4 linked regions of the Arabidopsis thaliana genome follow. The protein of the gene in region 2 purifies or fractionates together with the protein of the main gene of each other region. This does not show direct contact. Each region holds a gene or a part of one and is shown on either strand. Other genes may lie near its edges.

The links.
Region 1: the proteins of NRPD1B (region 2) and NRPD2A purify together in Arabidopsis thaliana (affinity purification with mass spectrometry; 2 studies listed by BioGRID, with this or other methods). This does not show direct contact.
Region 3: the proteins of NRPD1B (region 2) and NRPB8A purify together in Arabidopsis thaliana (affinity purification with mass spectrometry; 2 studies listed by BioGRID, with this or other methods). This does not show direct contact.
Region 4: the proteins of NRPD1B (region 2) and NRPE3B purify together in Arabidopsis thaliana (affinity purification with mass spectrometry; 2 studies listed by BioGRID, with this or other methods). This does not show direct contact.

The regions. Positions count from the first base shown.
Region 1 is NC_003074.8:8,568,048-8,576,480, forward strand, and holds the start of NRPD2A (nuclear RNA polymerase D2A), read right to left. Parts: upstream 6,163-8,433; 5' UTR 5,965-6,162; intron 5,803-5,964; 5' UTR 5,773-5,802; coding exon 5,356-5,772; intron 4,636-5,355; coding exon 4,408-4,635; intron 3,957-4,407; coding exon 3,076-3,956; intron 2,697-3,075; coding exon 2,405-2,696; intron 2,274-2,404; coding exon 1,380-2,273; intron 1,283-1,379; coding exon 978-1,282; intron 426-977; coding exon 1-425. Other genes in the region: AAE16 (AMP-dependent synthetase and ligase family protein), read left to right, coding at 7,221-7,373, 7,686-7,877, 8,325-8,433. UniProt on the Arabidopsis thaliana protein: DNA-dependent RNA polymerase catalyzes the transcription of DNA into RNA using the four ribonucleoside triphosphates as substrates.
Region 2 is NC_003071.7:16,712,468-16,717,801, reverse strand, and holds the start of NRPD1B (nuclear RNA polymerase D1B), read right to left. Parts: upstream 3,343-5,334; 5' UTR 3,078-3,342; intron 2,723-3,077; 5' UTR 2,714-2,722; coding exon 2,633-2,713; intron 2,377-2,632; coding exon 2,250-2,376; intron 2,159-2,249; coding exon 2,043-2,158; intron 1,947-2,042; coding exon 1,899-1,946; intron 1,566-1,898; coding exon 1,401-1,565; intron 1,235-1,400; coding exon 1,076-1,234; intron 992-1,075; coding exon 1-991. Other genes in the region: AT2G40020 (Nucleolar histone methyltransferase-related protein), read right to left, coding at 4,949-5,205, 5,293-5,334. UniProt on the Arabidopsis thaliana protein: DNA-dependent RNA polymerase catalyzes the transcription of DNA into RNA using the four ribonucleoside triphosphates as substrates.
Region 3 is NC_003070.9:20,252,556-20,257,424, reverse strand, and holds NRPB8A (RNA polymerase Rpb8), read right to left. Parts: upstream 2,488-4,869; 5' UTR 2,381-2,487; intron 2,216-2,380; coding exon 2,137-2,215; intron 1,882-2,136; coding exon 1,724-1,881; intron 1,401-1,723; coding exon 1,309-1,400; intron 1,202-1,308; coding exon 1,090-1,201; 3' UTR 737-1,089; downstream 1-736. Other genes in the region: AT1G54260 (winged-helix DNA-binding transcription factor family protein), read right to left, coding at 69-85; AT1G54240 (winged-helix DNA-binding transcription factor family protein), read right to left, coding at 2,931-2,962, 3,038-3,359, 3,457-3,540, 3,783-3,876, 3,972-4,028, 4,125-4,178, 4,291-4,337.
Region 4 is NC_003071.7:6,710,466-6,715,262, reverse strand, and holds NRPE3B (DNA-directed RNA polymerase family protein), read right to left. Parts: upstream 2,369-4,797; 5' UTR 2,242-2,368; coding exon 1,793-2,241; intron 1,604-1,792; coding exon 1,366-1,603; coding exon of another isoform or gene 1,345-1,365; exon of another isoform or gene 1,150-1,344; coding exon 877-1,149; 3' UTR 654-876; downstream 1-653. Other genes in the region: FUT4 (fucosyltransferase 4), read left to right, coding at 4,219-4,381, 4,474-4,797. UniProt on the Arabidopsis thaliana protein: DNA-dependent RNA polymerase catalyzes the transcription of DNA into RNA using the four ribonucleoside triphosphates as substrates.

The sequences.
Region 1 (8,433 bases), on a different chromosome or scaffold from region 2:
GAACATAGACCCTAACCACATGGTCTGAGGATACGCAGACTCTACAATATGGCCCTCTAATCTTTCTTCCACTGCTTGGAGTCCTCTCGATCACATTCGCATAGGTCTTACATTTTCTGCAGATGTGCATCTGAGAAGAGTCACTTAGAGTGAAGAGACGCTCATGCAGATTAGCTGATGCACCGTGAGCTATTAGGCAGTCTCGCTCCATTTCTCCAAATTTTATCCCGCCAAATCTCTTCCTGTCTGCAACTGGCTGGCGTGTGAGCGGGTGGACTGGTCCAGTGTTCCTGAACTTGACTTTGTCCTCTGACATGTGGACAAGTCGCTGGTAGAAAGTTGGGCCCATGAATATCATAGAACGCATCATCTCACCTGATCTACCGTTGTAGACCCTTTCGTTTCCCCATCTTGAAAAGCCGGCCCTAATCACAAATATTTACCATTGGTAATGAATCAGGACTCAAGAATCAACAATAATCTAAGAAAGGTTAAATGAATTATACATAGATCACAAGGCTCACAGCATCAATCCTCTAACTAATTATATACTGGTACATGACTCTTGAGCCTATTTTTCTGTATTCTCTAGACGTTTTTCAGGCACAATACAAGAAATTAATCAACCATAGAACATTGAACTTCTTAGTTTTTTAGTCTTACAGAGACAGATAACTCATGCTCACTTCTAGTACTCCTAGAAAACAAAATAAAGATCCACTATGACATGTTTCAAGTAAGGTGCTCAAATCTAGCTTAGTGCCTTGTGCAGTATATTAGCTCAATCAACTTTTGGAAATTCTGTAGCCAAAGTCTCCAAGTTTAAACATCTTCAACGAGGAAATATTATCAATAATATGTTCCTGCCCTTAATGATATCATCTATTTGTATAGGAAGCAAATGTAAATCTGTTATAGCATATAATTTTATATTCTGTTTTACGAGCTAAAACCAAGAGACAATGTGAAGAATGTACCTGTGAAGCTGCTCGGTGATTTCAGTGACACCCGGAGTGGAGAAAGGAGTGGCATGACGTGTCAATTTGGTGTATGCAGCAGAGCTACCCTCCTTTTGTATAGGACAAGCGATTCCTTTGGAGAGAGCAGCCTCCAAGAGTTGACCTGGTGTTTGCCTAGAAGGGAAAGCGTGCGGGTTTATCACAATATCAGGAACTATGCCTTGGATCGTGAAAGGAAAATTCTGCTGTTCCTCTAGGTAGCCTAAAACACCCTTCTGGCCATGCATACTGGAAAACTTATCTCCAAGGCATGGAGAACGAACCTGTAAGATGTAAAAGCCAATCAATGGAACATTCGATTCATACATAGGAATGCATTCTCTGAAAAAACAGCTCGATTTAGTATGATCTGGAACTTACCTGTCTCAGAGAAACCGCAGCAAAATTCTTCCCTTCATCATTAGATGATAATACCACTTTTTGCACAATTCCTCTCTCAGTGTGCTTGAGCTTTATACTGTGATCAGCCCCAGACTCGGTGCATCTGCCAATGACAATATCGCCAGTACTCATGTTAGCACCAATGAAAGGAAACCCGTCATCTTCAAGGCTGTCTACTTTGCCGATTTTGCTGTGTGTCTTTCCAAACTGAACAAGCTCATCCATCTTCTTCCTCTTCTCTGAGTCTTTAGCATCAACCTCTGCTTTGTAGCTTCTAATCTGCTCTGAACGGAACATACCACGTTCCAATGAAGCCTTGTTCATCACAATGGAATCCTCTTGGTTGTACCCGAGATGAACATTCACAGCAACAATTGCGTTCTGGCCATTGAACAGCACTTCTTTTTTAAGACACTCCGACGCCAATGTCTTGAACAGTGGCTTCTGAGGATAGAACAGCTGCTGGGACAGCGTATCGCAGCGGATGTTAGGGTTCGTTGATGAGAATCCAATGGCTTGTTGGCAGTGCTTCTGGGACTGGTAGAGAACTCTTCTCCCATGGTCGTGATTTGCAAATGGGACAACTGCACAGCTCACACCCAACAAGAATGACAGGTCCAATTCGCAATGTGTGTATATCTTTGGTTCCTTCAGAAGCTGTTTGATTCCCCATGCTGTATTACAGTCTTCTTCTTCCTCAATCCCGATCAGCTCGAGAATCCCATGGTCAAGAAGATGGTCAAAAGGATACTGTGAAGGTTTTTCTTGCTTCAACTTTTGGAGATTTTCCACAACCAAGAGAGGTCGGAGTAGTCTACCAGCATCAGTGAAAATTCTTACCTCATTGTCATCTTTATCTCGCTTGATTTCCATCTGCAGAGAACGTTTCATATATATAAACAATATTCGACATAGACACATCTGAAGCAGAAAAATCCAAAGCAAATACCAAGTAACACAAGAATATCAAAATATAGCAAGAGATTTGCTGAAACAGAAGATACCTCACGAGGTAATTCACTTTGGCGCCGCCTGCTTTTTAACTCCGCGACAAAGGATTCAGAATCTGCACATAATCCAACCCAGTCTCCATTGAGAAGAACTTTATGTTTGCCAAACAATGGTGTGCATGTATCATCCATCAGCTCTTCCATTCCACAAGCGAAGAGCTTTTCCACCACAGACTCCAAACTTTGGGTGCTCACAAGTCCCAGAAGAGACATGTTCTTCACAAGACCACAATTTTCACCGTCTGGAGTTGACAAAAAGCATACTCTGCCCCAGTGAGAGGGGTGCCTGTGGCCAACATTACAAACAATGCAGCTATAGTTCAGTTTCCCAACACGATTTAATTGTCTAACCGCTCACATTGAAAAGGAACCAAAATGGATAATCTCAAGAGTTCAACAGATAGATTGACCAAGGGAGAAAGAAACAAGAAAGACAGTATCAGAGTTTTTTAATAGCAGTAACATCTATACAAAATAAGTATTATACACAGACAAGAGACTGCAGAAACAGTGATCGGCATCATATACTACATTGAATTAAAGTTATTACGAATATCTTTAAAACAGTCTGAAGACATGTAAAATGGAGTAAATGCAGACCAGACCAGTAAGTTAAAATACGTGAGATATATTTAAATATACCAGAGGAGGTGGAATTCACTTACGGATATCTAGCATCTCCAACCTTGCCGGTATATAAGACTTGCTGTCGCGTTCTCCTCAGATCAATCAGAGTCTGCAATGGATTTGCACGACCCAAATTAGCCACAACACCTGAAACCCTTTCCATCTTCCTGAAAGGATGAGACCATGCTCCAGTAGAGAAGGCTCTACTAAGCCCATTTGTGATAACAGAAGCATCCAAATAATGCTCAATAGGCTTCAAATCACCATCGCCTGAGAGGTGTTTCTGCATGGCCCTGGTCATCTTTCTTCTAGCATGTGCCAGATGCACCCTTATCTCCCTCTCCAATAGTTCTCCAGCGAGCTCAATTCGCTTATTCCGGAAACTGTCCCTGTTTTCGCATTTTCTTTTTCCCGCATACGAGTTCAGAAGGCACTTCACCATATAGCCCAGGAATCGAGCTTTCTTCTTCAAACTTTGGAGGCCTGGAAACAAATACAGATGGAGGCACTCATCCACACTTTCAGCAGGAGGGAATTTGGTGCTTTTGATCTGCTGTTCAACATATGTTAAAGCATTGTTCCCACAGCGAAAAGCTTCACAAACTGCATCAGCTACATGGATAGAAGCTATGAGACTGTTGGTAATGCTTGCATCATCACCATCAAAAGCAATTAGATCCATGGCTTCTTTGTCTGACGAAACACCTAGCGCAAAGAAGAGGAGCCAGACTGGAATCTCAGTCGACAAGAAGTACACTGTCAGTACTTTCTCCCTTCTCTTATAGTCTTCTGCTTTCTCATTCTCCGAGAGGCGCACAATGAATCTATTTCTTTTATTTTCGGACCTGAAGGAGACTGTCCATGGTGAATTAGAAATCCACAGTCTCTTTGTGCACATCTGTTCTTGAGCTATAAACACCTGCAAAACAATATAATAACGTTAGGGAGAAGTATAACAACTTGAAAATATTTTTTCCAGAATATATTAGAGTCAAATCATCTGTCCCAGAGCCTAAGATTGCAAAGAACGCTTCCTGTAAGATTTGAATACTCATGGCCTCATGGTCAAGCCAGAAAGGAAAGAAAAAGTTTATATCTTTGATGCTAACGAAGTATACAAAGTCATAAATAAGTTAAGTTTCTTAATTTCTTACTTCATCTCCATTAGGAAAATAAAATGAACCAAATAGGTTATTGTCTAATTTGTAACATCTTTTTGCTGATAAACACTATTATCTGATGATAGAAAATTGTAACTATAATCCGTTTTATGGATTGCTGACAAACAAAATCCGTTTTGGCATAGAAAATAAAGTTATTGTACGTATTGAATGGCAATATGCATATATGTATGTATTAGTTAAACTCACCTTCTCAGCCCCCTTTATCACGAAATATCCACCCTGATCAAAGGCACAATCCCCCTTTTTGCAGTTTTCTTTCCCTTTCTCGCTTGTTTTGCAAAGGATAGATTTCACCATGACAGGAATGCTACCAATTAGAATGTCCTGCTTTTTGACATCCAGTATCTTCTTCTCGACATAGTTGTCTTGTCCTGTCTTGAATTTGTCGCTTTTAACAACAGTATTCTTGAACACCTAGTCAATTTATAGAGTGAAGAAGCAGTTAGACAATAAACTACATTTATAAGAATAAGATACATGGACAGCAAAACAGAAACATCATCAAAAGTTTGACAGTACAAGAGTCATTGCACACAAGCATAAAACACTCAAACTAAAGCACAGTGAGGCAGTGGGGAAGAACTAAATAAAAAAAAAAGCTGAAGATGTTTTTCTTTTATTGCATCCAAACTTTAAAATGAAACAAACTAAAGCTTATTTCGTTTGAATACCCACCACTACAAGGAAAAGTAATCACAATTCAAATTTTAAACAAGAAACATCTAAAGATTGGGAGCAGACAAAATCATCAATCTTAAACACAACCAAGCTTGAAATACACCTCTACTTCACACGAACATGTAACTGTAATAAATCTCTTTTACTAGATATTTTGCTCAGGTAAGAAATCCAGCGAATGCAAATAAGGAACCAAATCCAATTACAGAAAACTTGTAAAGCCAAAAAGAGTGAAACCAGTTTCAGACAAATATGTTCCTTAACCCTTAGTAAATTATTTGATGGCAAGTTAAATTGAGAAATCTATGACAGGAACCTCAGTGTATGTCAACATCTTCATATATGTGTCAGAAAGAGTCTAGTAGAAACATCAAGAAATAAGCTTATACCATGTGTTCTTTATCATTCATCAAATCCAGACAAGGTTACTTAATTTCGACAAAGAATTTCTGTTACCTCAACTTGGACATTGACTTTGATCCTTGCAGAGTATGTCATGTTCTGAAGCCTAGCATGCCATGGGAGAAACTCAAGCTCCTTGTCATCCGAAAAGAAAGTAGGCTTCTCCACAGTGACTTCTCCGAACTTCACCGTTGCGTATCTCCAATCATTATCCTTCTTCTTTACAACATCAAAAGACGGTTCCACAAGCATCTCACCAAAGGATTGAAACACATTCTGAAGCCCGTGTTCAATGAAGTAGTTGTAGGAGTTGAGCTGATGACTTATAAGTCCATACTTATCAAAGAAAGAAGTTGCAGCTTTTTTGCAGAAACTCTGCAGAAAACCTTCTCCTAGCTCAGATAGATTGATCTCCCCAGTAGTAGCCTCGAACTCTTCAAGATCCTTCACATCAATGTCCATATCTGGCATACCTCAAAACACACTGTACGAACAAAAACCCTAAACAAAGACAGAGAAATTGATTAAAAAGCTGTGAAAATCATGAACCACGAAAATGCAATCATGCGAATACAAACACGAAATCAACAACTTTCCCTTAGAACCGAATCATTCTCCATAACATATTCTCCGATGCTTAAAAGCAGAATCAAAGCGTATTACCTAAAATAGGTACCTTGATTGCTTAAAGCTGGCACGATGGAGTAAAACGGCGGTGTCGGAGGAGTGCAGAGTAAACGTCGCCGGAAAATCGCTGAGAATGCGGAGAGATTCGACGTAGAAAACCCTTGGCACACTTTTTCAGTGGTTAAGCGAAGCAGTCAAAGAGAAGTGAAGAAATTGACGTCACTAGTACTAGTAGACAATATTATTAAATTTTGCTCTTTGGTATCTATATTTTTATGTTTAAGTTTTATTTTATTTTTATTTTAAAGTGAAAAGGAAATATATTTAGAAGTTCACATGACATAAAATTTGTAACATCTTTTTTTTTTTCCAAAATTTGTAACATCTACATTTTGGTTTTTACATCTAATTCGATTTGGTTGTTTGGTTTAATAAATTTCATATATAACTTAATTTTGACCAAAACACAAAGAAAAAAAACAACACATAATTCACTAAAAAAGCTCAGAGCAATCCCAATGGTTTAAAATCAATTAATTTTTAATTTTGGATCTTAAGCTTATTTTAAATTAAAATGTTGTTTTTACTAAGTTAAGAAAAGTTAGGAAGAAGTTTAACCAATTTCTACTTCAATGGTTAAGAACGATTAGAATTTTAAGAAACAACAAACTATTTCAACACAATGTCTACCCACTCAAAACACAACACATATGCTTTTCTTAGTTTTAAGAAAATATCTTAATAAAGATGTTTTTGTTTAACCAAAAAAAATAAAATAAAGATGTTTTTTTTTTTGGTGAGTGACGGAGAGGCTTAATAAAGATGTTTATCTTAGCTAAAGTTTATTGGTTTCATTAAATTTAATCACTTTTATACCTAAAAATTAGCTAAGATACAAAGTTGGGGTTGCTCCTACAGTTTAGAAATAATCATCAAATAGTTACCAAATTTGGGACATCATAATTATGGGTAGTTTGATTTATTAGGTTAAATCTGATCTAATTATAGAAATATAATATATAAGTAAATAAAAAGTTATTATATAAGTGTAAGTATTGAGCTCTGTTTTTTGTTTTATTATCTCTGAGAGTCTGAAGAAGCCATGCTTCTGTAGCGGTGCCAACCAACTTGGAACTGATCTTTCCTGTGAAAAATCGTAATCATGACATCGACCTACTTTCTCGTCTCTTTCTTTCTACCTTTCTTTGCTTCTTCATCTTTCTCTCTTTCTCCTCTCATATATTCTCTCTATGCAAGCAACTTCATCACGATAACCTCTTATCTCCTCAGCCATGGCTTCAACGTCTCTCGGAGCTTCGATTCTCGTTTCTCACTGCTCCTCAGCTCCTGAATTTCAAGTTTCTGGGATGAGATTGGTGTTTGGTTACAAGGCTTTTGGCTGCAGAACTTCACGCAGGGGATTTCGAGTTCGCTGCGAATCCAAGGCGAGTTCCTTTTTGGTTTGTGGACTTAAAAAATTGCTCCTTTCACTTTGATTTTTGAAGTAAGTAATCTAAAGAAATGAATTGACTTTGGGGAAGGTTCAAGTTTAGCTGTTGCACCAAAATAGACAACGAGTGGCTCTGACTTCTGAGTCTTATTAGTTTAGGATACTTGTCTTATGAAAGCTGAATTGCTTCTGATGACCAGGGTTTAAACAGCTTGATCCTGAAAGGCTTTTATAGGGTTCTTGTAAGTTTACCTTATGGTTCATTTCCTGAATTATATGTAACATCAATTGTGTACCGTTCTTATAGATTCAGGAGAAGGAGTTAAGGCGGTGTTCGCCATTCTTAGAACGCTTATCATTGCCAAGGGAGGCTGCTTTGAGCTCTAATGAATGGAAGTCTGTTCCTGATATTTGGAGATCATCTGTGGAGAAGTACGGTGACAGAGTTGCGGTGGTAGATCCGTATCATGACCCGCCTTCTACATTCACGTACAGACAGGTAACACTACTTCGCATCTCATTGCTATTATTTTAGATCCCCACACTTTTGAAATAGAGGTTTTTAAAGCAAATGACAGAACTTAGGGAAAAAACTGAAGTTTAAGAGTTAAGATTGATTGGCCATCAGCTTTTTTTCTTTATCGATTAGTTTTGTATCTACATATCTTAACTGCTTGTCAATAAGAAGGTAGCTAGAGGGTGCTGAAGATGAACCATATTCGAATGTTAGGAAGCATACTAAATTGATATTTCCTTATGATTATTGTCAGGCATGTCCCTTGGTATTTGCTGTGTTAATCTATATGTTAGGAACCAATGTTGTTTCAGTTATCTGCCTGAAATACTTCCTGTTGCTAGATAGGTGGGTAATTACTTTTGAAGTTTACAGTGATGCTAAATTTGGATGAGTAATGGAACCTTTCATTTCAATCATCTTATTTTGCAGTTGGAACAAGAAATCTTGGACTTTGTTGAGGGTTTACGAGTCGTTGGAGTGAAAGCAGACGAGAAGATTGCACTTTTTGCTGATAACTCCTGTCGATGGCTTGTTGCGG
Region 2 (5,334 bases):
CAACCAGGAATCTGTCTCCTTTGCAACTCAGACGTTCTGGAAAGGCAAGCTGTAGAATCTGGAAAACTGTCCAAGCTGGGCCAGATTTACTGGACTTCCTTAGTGCTGGTGGTGGCAGGGACAGAGAGCCATACATAGCTAACTGTTGAGCAGTTGCCTTGTCCAGAAATACCCGCTCCAGCATTACCCTCAAAGACAGTAAAGAATCACTACCCATCTGCAAAATCAGCTGTCCAGTATGTGAGCTAAGCAGTTGCTTCTCCACAGAGAAGAGCTCCATAACCTCTGCCTTAGCACTAAGAGACTGAGGGTAGAACAAATGGACACAATCACCATCAAAATCAGCACTGAGGGGGCTACACATCAGAGGGTTAATCTTCACGGTGTTGTCTTCATGAACATACACCCGAAGCGCTTGAAGAGAATGTTTATGTGTTGTCGGGGGTCTGTTGATAAACACAACATCCCCATCCATGACCCTGCGATGAACAACCTGCCCGGGTTTAAGCTCAGTGTGCCCCTTGGATCCATCCCTTAAAGAATAGGTCGTAGAACCTTGAGTATAACTCAAACACAACTTGTCGTCTACCAACTTTTGTAGATAACCTCTATTGTGGACACTAACCCTTTCCTCAAATGTGATTCTCTGCGCAATTTCTATTGGGATCCCTACCTCATTCACATGTCGGTAAGCATCTCCAGTGATGACGCTACGGGAAGAGAAACCTGAACCCTTACGGATGAAAAGTGTTCTCATTTTTTCTGTCCAAGCTTTTGAAGATGAACTATCCGAGATCTTAGACACCCCGTATCTCATATCAATGTTTCTTGCCGCTTTTGCAGTACCCCTCACCTGGAGATAGGTATCCACCACTCTAAACATCTCACTGGCTTCAGCCTTATGCGACTCAAAGTTTGTCTCGCCAGACCTAGAGCTTTTTATGGCTATGACTTTCTTCAGAACGTCCTTTAGCTCAATTCTGGAAGGATCCTGAAAATAAGAATGACACAAATCCAGGGGTTACAACACAAGCCAAAGCATTCAACTCAACATAGTAATTTAGTTTCAACTTACCACTGACATGGTGCTGAAACCATCAGAAGCCTCTGGCACTGACAAACAGTTAGGCGGGACAGGAAGATACTCTAGTATGTATCCTTCTTGAGGAATATGTCCCTTTGCCGTGAGTTTCTTTCTTGATTCTTCGGGGATCCGTCTTAGAATTTCCTTAACCTATTTGTTTTCCCACCATATGGAAAAGGACACGGAAAGTACATAATCATCAGTTTCCAGAAAGAAAAGATCTTAAAGATAGAGAATGATTCCAAATGAACAAAAAGAACGTCACCATAAAATCCTACATAAACAGAAACATAAACACACAGAAGAAAGTAAAAACCTCTCTTGCCAGCAGGGGACGCGTGTAATCGCTTCCATAGCGATAACCATATCTTTCCAGGAAATTCCAGCAACCAGGCTGCAGTCTTGACCTAGATGGGAGCTTCAGTTCTAGATATGAGGCACCATCTGATGCTCTATCTTTGATTGAGATTTGCGAAGCTTCCTAATAAAGTAATATAGTAGTTAAAAATCCAAGACGTTCAGCAATAATAACATCCAAAATAACATAAAGCAGTGAATGTTTCATGATGCCACGAAAATACCAATAGCTACTGCTTCACAAGCATTGATTAATGTTACTTTCACTGAATGGATCAAAAGAAGCACAAATACTATTTAGATTTGAATTAGCAAGTTTTCTAACATGCAACTAGTTGAAGGAAAACTTAGAAAAACTAACTAAATGCTGAACCAGGTTCACATAAGAAACATCTATCAACTTGCTTTCAGGTAAAACTTAAAAGGAAACAATCAGAATGTATATGCCATTACTCACCTCACAACAGACACCCAACAAGCGATCCGCCAGACCACCACTTGTGCCCTGTACTCAGAAAGGTGAAAAAGATTAGTCGAGATTTTATATGGTTTATTTATGTGTGGATCACATGGAATTTAAGAAAACTCAATGAGGTAATACCTTTGCCTTCTTTATCTTCAGACATTTCAAGCACAGAAGGCTCAGCATTTGTTTCAACTCATTAACATGAGCAGGATGGTATATTGGCACTGGAAGCTGAATATAACCAAAATGACCTGAAAATGTAGAAACAAATACCGATATCTGAAGAAGTATTCCAACAAATGATGTAAGAACAAAAATATAGCAACTACGGAACTGGATTACCTTCACATTTATCTGGTTCTGTCGCACCGCAAGATTCACATTTACCAAATTCAAGAGGTAACCCCAAGAATGCGTTAGTGAGTTGACTGGGATGATTAATTGCGGATTCACTAATCGATTGAATACACTGCAAGAAAGAATTACAGTCCAGTGAGAAATGGAATAGTGACAGAGGATATATCGCAGAACAACATTTATATGCAAAAGTGTAGCACTTAGCATCACACAGAGCTTGAGTACAATTATAGTGAATTTAGTGCCAAAGATAACCAAAACATAGAGGTTTTAGCTATTCGAAATCCTTCAGTTATGTAAAACCCATGATAAACATTGATGCAGAACAAGATGGATCAATTCCAGAGAGTATAACTCTTATAACTTACTATTTCATGGTGACTAGCAAGAGCAAATGTGATTCCAACAATCTCTCCGTCAAGAATCTCTGATGTAGATTCTTCCTCCATGAAAAAACCCTAACGAGCGAAAATCACACACCAGCGAGACCGAGTTAGCTCTTATCAGATGTAAACAAACAGAGAAACAAAGACATTTGAGCTCACTAACTTGATACAAAGAAAAATCAAGTCTTTGAAGAACAAGTTCTCAAATCTGTAAAAGATACAATTTTTATACTCGTTTACACAAAATCGAAGCTGTAGTAACACACAGTGAACCAAAAAATCCGAACTTTCAAACCTAGAGTAACCTACATTTGAAACCCATTTCGGAGAAACCCCCCCCCCCCCAAAAAAAAACACGGCGGAGTCATGATCGAGCTCTTTTCCCGGAAAAACATCTAAAGATAAGAGTTGGGTAAGACGAAAATACCTAAGAATTCGATGATTCAGCTGCGTATTTGACCCGTTTTGGTTCCTCAACCGGAGAAGAAACGAAACAGCGGGAAACAAGGGTTTTTGCAGGTGAGAAGAGGGAAGAAATCTGAGTGAGAGTGAAAATGGCGGACTTTTTCTTAAAAGAGGAAACCGAGAAAGAAGATTGCGAGAGAACAATTTTGGAGTGACTCTACTTTTCTCTCTCAAAAATCTTTTGTTCTTCTTCACTCTTCAGCTTCCGTCTTTAAAACCCACATTGCATGCAAAGGGAGAAATATTTTCAGTTTCGTTATTAATTAACTAAAATAAAAAGGTATCAATTTTAATTTTTCTTTATTTGTCAAACAATTGATAACACTTGGGAATATGCAATGATGATGAAAATGATTAAAACAAATATTTATCCACATATTATGCAAGACCATGTCAACAACCATTGACAAACTTTTTTTTTTTTTGAGAAGAATAAAGGATTTCAAAACCATAGAATTAGCAGTGAAGCAAAACATATAAATACTTCAAGTAAACTATTTTTTGGATTCGATTTTGGTGTTGTATATTTGATCGATCGCCATAGATGACCGTTTCCGTTTGTAGTACGCTATGTTTGATGCGATAAAAATCTAGCGGGAACGATGTTTTATAAAATAATGGTTATACCAAAAAAACGGTAAGAACTAAGTGGATCGACTTGTAAAAAAAAATTTGAGATATTTTTTGTATTCATGAATTTGTAAATAGTTCATACCAAAAAAATGAATATGTAAACAGTTGACCAATCAATTAAAGACAAAAAAACAGCTCTTTTGTCTTCAAAAATTATATATAAAATGTTAAAGTATTTTTTCATTTTATTTTGTTATATATTTGATCGATCACCATAAATGAACTTTTCAATTATATATTGATGCGATATGAATATGAAAGGAACAATGTTTTCAAGAGATAAACTTCGTTTTTATCCGAAAGAACGGTAACCAATGCTCATATCAATTTATAATGAAAACATGGAGAAGGTTAACAATAACTCTTTTTCTTCATTTATATAATTTTGTTTACACATAAATGAAGAACATGAGTATAAATTTAGGAAAATATTTTGTAAATAAAAAGTAAAGGGTAACTCCAAAATGAAGTGACAGATGATATCATACCATATTCATCACTCCCTTTTAGAGTTGAGAATATAGTGGTATTAAAAGGATTTTTTCTAAATTAGTATTTAGAGTGAAATTTGGAATATAATTGGAGATGCACTTATTGGCTCATGGATTTAAAAAGGGAACAAAATTGCATCAATTTCTTTCTATTCAGGAGGAATTAAGTGGAAAAAAATTTCATTCCATTTATTGTAAAAGTTAGCAAAAGTTGTAACCAAACGAAATACAATATGCTTCCTCTCTCAAACTTTTCCGCTGATGTGTAAAATACAAGTCAAGCTATACTTGCATTTAAGTTTATATGTACAAAAAAAAGTTTATATGTACAAATCAAAAATCAAAAGAATATGAAGTACCGGTTGATATTGGTTCTTGCATTTAGAAGGTATAATTGCAATTAAACCGACTTTCAGATTTGGTCTAACTTTTAGACTGGCTATTCAATTTACTTTAGAGGGATTTGGTTTCCACTTTCGACATTGATCTTTGGATAAGTGGGTTCGGGTACTATTGTATGACTCATACAACTACTGATAAAGACTATCTGCTTTCTCTACTCCATCACAAATTATTAAAAACCAATATCTCAAGAGATGTTAAGATGGGTCGTTTTACCTTTTTTCACCACAATACTATAGCTTACTACTACTATTTGGCTTCCTAACATATATATCAATTTGCTACTTACAGGAGCTCCATAGCTCCTTTACTTGTCCCACCTCATCTCTTTCTTCCTCCTCTTCTGTCCACGTACTTCCCTGAGAAGCTCTTGAAGTTCTTCACAAAGAGGTTCTGGAGTAAGCTGAATGATCTCATCATCATCACCATCACTATCCTCCTCTGGCTCCGTCTCCTTCTCCTTTGGATCCTCTGGCTCGGTCTCCTTCTCCTCTGGATCCGTTTCCTCCTCAGGATCCGTCTCCTCCTCATCAATTAGCCATCCACAATGAAGATTCTCCACACCTAATCAATTATTTTGACCGCAGTAAAAGAATGTTTCATTTCTTATGTTGAGATTGGTATGGATATGAGTAAAAAAGCTTTTATTACCTCGAACAGAACTTTGTGCATAATCTGATGATGCTTCTCCCA
Region 3 (4,869 bases), on a different chromosome or scaffold from region 2:
CAAGGTAAAGAAGAACCTGTTAGAACTTAGAACATACCAATTCTAAAAAATCTCTAAATATAACAAACCTAGCATCATTGCTCATATCAGATGAACTACTAGGAGAAGCCTCATAGCTAACAACAGAACGAGAAGTCTCTGAAGGTGAAGTGAAAATGGAGGTAGATTCGAGTGATTGTGTCCTTGATTTCTTTATATTACGCCATTTATCCTTGAAATTTGGGCAATAAGAATAAACAATACAACATTAATACCCAAATTTCGACCTAATTCCACATAATAAATCTCAAAAATCGATTTCCATGGAAGACGAATGGGATTTTGGGAATTTTCGATTACCTTGAGGTTAATGTTTGTGCGATCTAGAAGTTGAGCCGCGAACTCTGGATCGTCTAAAATACTTGTCCATTTTCCGGAACCGTGCTTGGCTAGTCCGGCGAGAAGGGCTTCCTTCTTCCACCGTCCATTTATTCTTCCGATTTTCTAGTTGTTTTTTCTTTCTCTTCAAGTCGAAATATATACCATTTAGAAGGCCTCATCAAAAGCTTTTATTGGGCCTAAACATGGCCCACTATACAGATTTAAAATTAAATCTTGATCTGTTCAGAATTTTTAAGACTAATCTCGACCGTCCAAGATATATTCTCCCAGTCTCAAAGAAGCAAGAACACAAACATGGACTAGAGAAAACACAAGCATGGATTAGAGAAAACACTCTATTTTTGGCTCAGAATCTATTTTTCGAGCTTTATTGCTTCATATTGTTGTTAGAAGATAAGAGTGTAGTGAAAATTGGTTAGAGAAGAAACAAAACTGTGTCCTTGACCAAAAAAAAAACTGTGTCTTTGTCTGTGTTTTTTGTTATGTTCTTGGTCTCAATTGCTTATCTTCATCAATAGCTTAGAGCTACAAATAGTACATTTCACCGGACCGGAGCAGTCAATTTGTGGAATGGGATTTAAAACGGAACGGAAAAACTTGCTTTTGCACAAGAGTTGCTTCATGAAAATTGCAAGAGTTGAAGTAGTAAAAGTTAAACATTAGATCAAGCTCTCTATTAATTCAGTTTTTATCCGAAAAAATGGCACCTCACAGCTTCCTCATGAGTAGGAAGAGCCTCTGGTCGAGTTCGAAGTGAGAAATGTGAGCTGGATCTCCCTTAAGCAACATCAGGAGGCCGCCAAACGAAACATATAGCTCTCTGGAAACACATAATTTAAAGAAAATAAAATAAAACATGATGGTTTGATATGTGAGTTGAATTGGATTGAATTATTTTGATATGGGGGGGTTATATGGGATTCTTACGCTTTTGGAGTTTTGCCGTCACGCTCAGAGATCTTGTAAAGCTTCCCGTGCATTATGTATTCATACTTATCGGCAAGTGTTTTCTTTGCTCCCTGTAATGTATCGAGATGAAAACTAGATAAGATTAATGTTTAGATATGCATACACATTCTTGGTTTTCAAATTTAGATCTTGAAGATTCAAGAACTAAAGCTTGTTAAAATTCCATGTCTCCTCTTATTCCTAGATAGACAGGCTTCTCGAATCAGCCAACAGAGTTATAATATCAACCATTTAGCAGCATTAACAGTTATATCCTAACAAAATCCAGATACGGGTTCAAAGTTACCATTCATGGAAATTTGGCCAAGCAAACAAGAGACTGTGTATATACTCAAAACAAAACAACTAAATAAAAAGCAGTAGAGTTTATTACCGGAGTAAAATAACCGGTATCAGGGGTTCCATCGAGATTCAGCGTAGGAGCCAACGCAAGTGTGAACTTATCACCAACAGCCAATGGATAAACCTCTGTATTAACATCTAAATGCATAAACATTTCCAAGTTGTGGCTCGTAGCTTGAACGCGAGTAACTGTAACCACAAACACAACAAAAATCATTGTAGGTTTAAGAGAAAGCCACTCAATCTGAAGACAGAACAAAACTTGGGGGAGACTAAAAACTTAAAAAGTTAAATTTTTCCACAAAACCCACACACTCAGACCAAAAAAGGATAAACGGAAGAACTCATTCACAATACATACATGAACTAAACAGCTATGAACAAACGTCGATGTAAGCCATGAGAAGTACTAGAAATCGTGAGTGAGGCTAATAAAGTGTATACCTTTATCGAACTTTTTGCCATCAGGGTCTAACTGATCGACCACGAAGATATCCTCGAACAAGATGATATTGCTCGCCATCTGCAAACACGGAAATTCAAACCCTAAACACTCTTTATTTCCTTGATAAAACCCCAATTAAACCAGTAAACAAGACCTATATGGACATCTAATGAGTACAAGAATCCGAACTCTGAAATCAACTTATAAACAACCAATCGCATAGGAAAGTAAATAGTTCCGAACCAGGAGCTTGAGTTGAGGGAGAGATGGAGAAGCTTGAGATCAAAAAGTTCAGACTTTAATCTCCCAAGCGATGGGCGATAGAAGAGCCAAAAAACAATTAAAGGGACAGACTGAGAACAAAAACTCATAAAAGTCCTATGTAAGCTTATAATGGGCTTACAATGAGGCCCATTATAAAATTGTAATTCTCATAACTAATTTTTTTCTTTCTTGATCAGTATTTGAAATTAATCTCGACCGTTAAAAATACTTGCTAAAGACACCATGACACACTTTCTTTTTTTCTTTCTTATGTTATGTATTAGAAAAACCTATTCAATTCTTAAGATTGGCATTATCTGTAAAAACTTGTATTAACAAAAACTAACAGAATAGTCTGTTGCCTTCACAACCAAAATCATTTAACCACAAAGTAACAAACTATGACTAGTTAGTCAAATGAAATCACATTTCATATCTACACTCTTTTTTTTACTCAAAACCAAAAACACTAAAAAGAAACCGGTGATCGAATATATCCACCTTGAACCGGACCAGAAGGTCAAAGCTTTTACAGCAGGAAAATCTTTTCACCGTTAGCACCTGCAAGGACCAAATCAAATGAAAAAGTCAGTGATGATGATGATGATAAAAGGTTAAGAGGTGGACATTACTTACATCGATTAAGGATTTCTACGGCTAACTGCAAGGTTATGTTGCTTTCTAATTTTAGCAACTGGGCGTGTTTATCTGCAAGTTCGTATGCCTCTTTTGCTTCCAACTCCAAGTGTTCTGCCTCTGCGACTTCTTTTGCTAATGCGATTATCCGAGGATCTACTTCTGTTGTTGGTGGTGCGAAAGAAGCACAAGTACTTGGTGTGTCTTGTGCCTTTGTGCCCGTGGAATCTTCTGGATCCATGGTTTCTCTTTGATTTGAATCTCCTACTGACACAACTGGAGTATCAAATACACCACGGGGGATCTTGTAGAGGTTTCCTACCTGCATTTACAAGTTTTTTTTTCCGTTTTTCTGAACTGATCAAACAAAACTACTGAATCTTAACATTAGTGTGAGGCAACTCTGAAAAACTAGTTACCTTGTATACTTGGCCTTCAGAAACTAGATATCTCAGCTGGTTTTCCAACCGCTCCCTAAAATCTTCCTGTAACTCGTTCCTTTCCTGCAATTTATATTAACCACAAGAACATGATGGTTAGTTGATCAAGAACAACGGAGGAATCAACAAAACCAAGACTTTAAAAGGAAGACTTTTAGGGGATGGAACATGAAGTCAAATTTTCAGATCCTAATGTTCCATTGTGTAATCCCGCTATTGACTCACATTTCAGAACCAATATACACTACTCATGAGATATGACCATGAAACACAGATACTTATAGAGACAGAGAGATCCTCCTAACCTTGATAAAAGTGAAAATCGCATCGACATCAAGACCATTATGATTCTCGTAGACTGTTTCTAAAGCCTGAAAGATCAATTCATCAGTCGTAAACCTGAAACAAAACCAACAAAAAAAGAGTAATATCAAAACATAGATAGACCAGAGAAAACAAAGATTGGTGGTTAAAGAATCGAGAAGGTCACAAACCCAGAGGGACCCCGGTCTTCTTCTGAATCTATCATCATGAGCCTTTCAAGCTGTTCACTGAAAATGAGATAACAAATCAATCAAAACATAACCAGAAAAGCAAAGATCAATTCTAAAAGATTGGTTCTAAAGAATACAATAAAATTCACTAACGCATAGGAAGAAGGTTCTGAAGAATCCGTAGCCGCTGGAGAAGAAGGAAGGTCTCTGAAAAAAAGAGAAAGAAATTGACATTATTAGTTGAAGCAGAGCTTTAAGCATCGATCGATCTCTCTCATTTCCACAAAATTGGCTTTGGGAAATACAAAAGTTCACGAACCCATAAGTAACGTTGTTCGCATCCGATTTTGTATCTCCAGAAACCATGGCCACTGAAGAAGGATCGTCGCTGAACAAAAAGAAAGAAACTGACACGTTAGAGATCAAGCAATTGAAGCATCGATCTTTTTGATATCTTCAAAATTGCCTTCGATTGAATAAAACTACGCCATTTTCGTCTTGAAATCGCATGATATGAGACGTATTTGGATCATTCGTGTAAATCTCAAATCGGTTTCCATGGAATAAAATAAAGATCTTACTCGATAAAGCTTGAATTGAATGGGATCTTCTTGAAGAGTATCAATGGTGATCTATCACTTATATACCTGCGCTTCAGAGAAATCCAATCGCAGTCGTCTTGTCTCGCCGGAGAAGACGATGTAACTAACTCTCTTTCCCGCCTTTCTATTTTTTTTTTTTGGTTTTAATATTTCCAACTGCACAATCGTGAATATATAGCAATCTAATTGGGCCGTTACAAGTTCTTAGAGGGCCTAAACCAGGTCTAGAGTTAAAGTCAACTTTAATTTCCCCCGTATTCAGAAAACCACATTATAAGCATATAATGGGCTAACAA
Region 4 (4,797 bases), about 10 Mb from region 2:
TTTTTAATTCGTGAATTTCATACCTGGAGCAACTTGACCTATTGACTCATTTACTCTCAGGTGCACTTAAATAATTTACGGCGAGCGCCTTAGCCTATTACTATTACTCAAAAATGTGGTCGAGAAATGTAAGATAAGGATTCCGGAAGCATTGGAAATTAAGTAGGAGGAAGACATAGAGTAGCCATTACAGTTGAGTGTTTAACACGTAAATAAATTAATTTAATTATTACTTAAATGTGTTAACCCATTTAACAACTCAACTCATCAAATTAAATGAGTTATAGTTTGATCCAATCTATTTAACAAAATGAGTTGGGTCAACCTATAACTCATTTAACTTTAAACTCATTTGATTATGAGTTGAGTTGAGTTGGGTTACCCATTTTGACACTCCTAGGTATCAGCATTAAGAAGAAACAAATATTTTTCATCCACTCACATTTTTTTTTTAAGTATACATATATATATCTAACATGTGGATATATATTATTTTTTTAGATAAATTAATAGAAAAATATTAACTTGGTTTTGTTAGAGTATCTCACTAATATAATATTAAACTTTTCAATATTAGTTTAATATTTTGTTTTTACCTTAATTAATATCAATTAAAATCTTTTTTCCTATATTAACTAACCCATTCTTAACAATGACAACAAAAAAAACGCCAATTACGAGAGAGTTCAACGACTAAAAATAACCCAACATAACAAGGTTCAGGAACACAAGGATCAGTCAGAGGTCGGGAACAAAGACAAGACTGCCACTTTACATGTTGCTATCAAACAAGGCAGTGCCGCTACGGTTAATATATTAGTCTGGTCTAGAAGAAACTTAAACCCTGATCAAACAGGTAAAAAAAGAGCTACGATTTCATCCTTCACGCATATGGGCACCGAGTTCACCAAACTGATCATCGGCTTCTACAGTGTTATCTGAGAGACGGATTGCATCAAGCTTCTGCTTCAGGATATCAATGGCATTTAGTACCAGCTGAGAAGCCTTCAATGCACCTGTGGACTCAACAGTGAATACAAAACTATCATGTTTCGGATGGATCTCAATGAGTCCCGGTTTCCCCATTGCTTCAGCTTTCTTGATCACTTCTTCATCGTAAGTGTATGCTTCAGGATCAACCACCACAACCTAAGAAGCAAAGTATTATAATTACAGTTGTGATGATTCAAACAATAGACTGCAAAAGAAATGAGCTAAACGCACTAAACACTTAAAGAAAATTCATACACCACATCACATACATATATTTCAAAGCATGGTAGCCTATAAAGTAGTACAATCATATTGAAGTCTCAAAGCTATAAACTTGTATAGATGTTATTCTTACAGAACATCGAAATTAACCTGTCCGGTGACTGGGTCAATGCCAAACACTTTGGTAGGACTGCTCTCAATCAAGTCAATTTTTTCCTCATCTGTCAAAGTGTTCATCATCTCTTCATTGATAATAATGTCAGGCTCATACATATACGTAACAGTAGCTGCAGGAGACCATTTCGCATGATCTTTCCCAATTCCTTTCCTAGCTAATGCTTTAAGCTTCAACTCTTGTCCCCTGCGTAGTTTCGCAATGATAATTCCCCTGAAACCAAAACAATAACAGTCTAAGAAACTGCAGAAAAAAAAGCCACAGAACTACCAAAAGGAAGACTCATGCAAAGGGCATCTAAAGATGTCAAATTTTGTTTAGCATTGTGTAATATCTAAGCTTAGCAATTCCAATCAATTCATAAAGAACAAATAATCACTACAATGATGAAAAGGGACTTACTTGTGCTCGCTTGAATCAGAAGTAGATGAGTTACTAGTGAAATCAACAGGAGTAACAGTAGGATCAGCACTGTAGAGATCCCTACTAGTAACATCTAGGGTTTGGTCAGTAACACACTTAGCACTAAGGGGAAACTCAACAGAGCAGAACTCGCAATGTTCATCTCCATTACAATCTTCACAATCTTGACAGAACCGCATGCTCATAGCACGCTCGCTAGTGAGAGGGATGAGACTAAGTCGTTGAGCAATGAACTCGTCGTTGAGAACAGAGGAATTAACCTCGATTTTGACGAGATGGATTGCCATGGTGGGGACTTCGGAGATCATTACGCGACGGAGAGCGTTGGCCATTGAAACGTCGGTTTCACGAAGCTCGAACTTGGCGTAGTCATCTTTAAGCTCACGGATCTTCACCGTTGGGAATCTTTGGTAGGTGACACCGTCCATTTCAAAAGCTGTTCCTTCTGACGACTCTGGGACTCTTAGGGTAATGACTTTTCGATTTCTTCGCCGGAGAAGAAGAAGAAATTTGGAGAGAGCAAAGTGAGTGAGAGTGGAAAAAGGTATAAGAAGAACTATAGTAGTTTAAGTTGGGCCTATATGGGCCTATTCTTTTGTTTACTGGGCATTTTCAGGCTTCTCATAACAGTTATTGGGAATGGTCAAAATGTCTACAATGGATTTTCTGTTTACATCAATTCAAATAATGACCCAATGTTATTTTAAGACTTTTTAATCTTTATAATTTGAATTACATAATAATAATTTTGGAAATACAAATATTAAAAAGAATCGAAATTCCATATTTTTAACAGTAACTTGGATTAAAAACATTATATAAAGAGTAAAAAGGATTAAAAATGCATTGGTTCATAAAGAATAATGGTAAATTTGTTGTTTTAATCTTTATATAGTGTTTTTCCAAAATTATTCTTTCTAATTACAATTAAAATTTTTTTACATAATTAATTTTAATGGTAATTATGTGAATGGTTTCGGACAATGTACAAGTTGTACTCATCATTATTCCGCTTATTTTCATAATTATTCCGCTTATTTTCATTGACACAATTAAATCTTGACCTAAATCTAAAAGATTACATATAATATATTTTATCCAACAGAAAATATAAATTATTTTTAAAAATAGAATTTTAGTGGGTTTTGGGGCTTTAAGTGCACTGATCATGTCTGGTCCAAAATTCTAATATTGCTTTCCTTTTTTATTTTTATTTTGCCAAGAAACCAATTCCGGGTTTAACTTCCTTGTAAAACCATCCTTTTCATATATATGATATTTGCAGTTTAGCCAAAAAAAAAAAGTTGAATTTTAATCAACATTTTTAAGCACGACGGTTTCAACTAGTAGTACCATATCGCGGGTTATACCATTACCGGAATTTATTAGAGATTTTCAAAATTTACCTGATTGAAAATTAGCGGATTGTAGTGTTGGAGCCAAACTGGATTAGTGACTGAGTCATCGGGTTTACCGGGCCAACCGCGGTTCCGCTCGAATCTGAATACATTTCCCTCGTCAAAATAAAAAAAGTCAGAGGACGATTGGTCGATGAGAAAAACATTTAATAAAGGAAAAAAAAATGAAAAAACAAATGGGGCCTTTGGAGCGATGTGATGACGTGGCAACCCCCGGAGACTTTCAAATAGCATATTGAGAGTTTTACATGCATGTGAATATCAAGGGTAACATCTAGAGTCATATGAATTGCGCGTGTTATGTCGTTGTTAGTCGTTCATGTTAACAATAATCTACGTATACCGTTTGTGACTTTTAAAACTAAGTTCATGAACCTATTACATATAGATCAAAATCTGGACCATAATTTTATTGGTGTATTGTTAGAAACTTAAAGTTCATATCACTTTCTCTATGTTTCGTGGCCTACTTGCAATTTTTTAGGAATCTTTTGACCATTAGTTTTTTAAACGAGTTTAGGACTTTGATCACTAAGGTAAATCGTTTAAACAATTTGGGATCACTTAATTATTGACATGATTGTATGTTTTGATTGGGCATGTCAAACAGATCTCAATATTTATGTAATTACAAATTATTGCATATTTCAATACATCAATGTCATGGTCTTCACAACGTGCCTGACAAATCCTAGTTGTTTGGATTCCAAATTGTTAATAATTCACAAGAGCTCTCCCATAGGAAGTTTCTTCGATAATTCTGAATATTATATAATACAAAATCACAATTTGGAGTTTAAAGACTTTTCTTCTATTAAACAAAATAGAGTCACGTTTGGAGTTCGTTGATAGTCACAACTTAACAATGACACATTAGAATATTCAAAGTTTTATCTTATTGATCAGTGATTGACATTAAAAGTTGTAATCAAGTTATATAAGCGTTGTAAACTCTTTTTGAATCATCTTCACAAACTAAAAGTCAACATGTATCATATATTTCAGATCTCCGGCGAAGTTATCAAGGGTTTGGGATTGAAGACGAAAATTCTGATAACCATCGTCTTTAGTACCTTACTAATTTTGTCTGTTATGTTACTTTCATTCTCAAACAACTTCAACAATAAACTTTTTGCTGCTACAATCAACGGTAAGAAAGAAAAAAATAAGCATCCATGTTTTGTCATTCATTGTTAGCTCAAAGAATTCTCCTTTTGACCTTTTTTTTTGTTATATGTTCAGACGAATCCGAAACACCGGGGCGGGATAGACTAATAGGAGGGCTTTTAACCGCAGATTTCGATGAAGGTTCTTGCTTGAGTAGGTATCATAAAACTTTCTTGTATCGCAAGCCTTCACCATACAAGCCGTCTGAATATCTTGTCTCGAAGCTTAGAAGCTATGAGATGCTTCACAAACGTTGCGGTCCAGGGACAAAAGCTTACAAGGAAGCAACAAAGCATCTTAGTCATGATGAGAATTATAATGCAAGCAAATCAGATGGTGAATGCCGATACGTTGTGTGGCTCGCTGATTACGGGCTTGGAAACCGACTACTCACTCTTG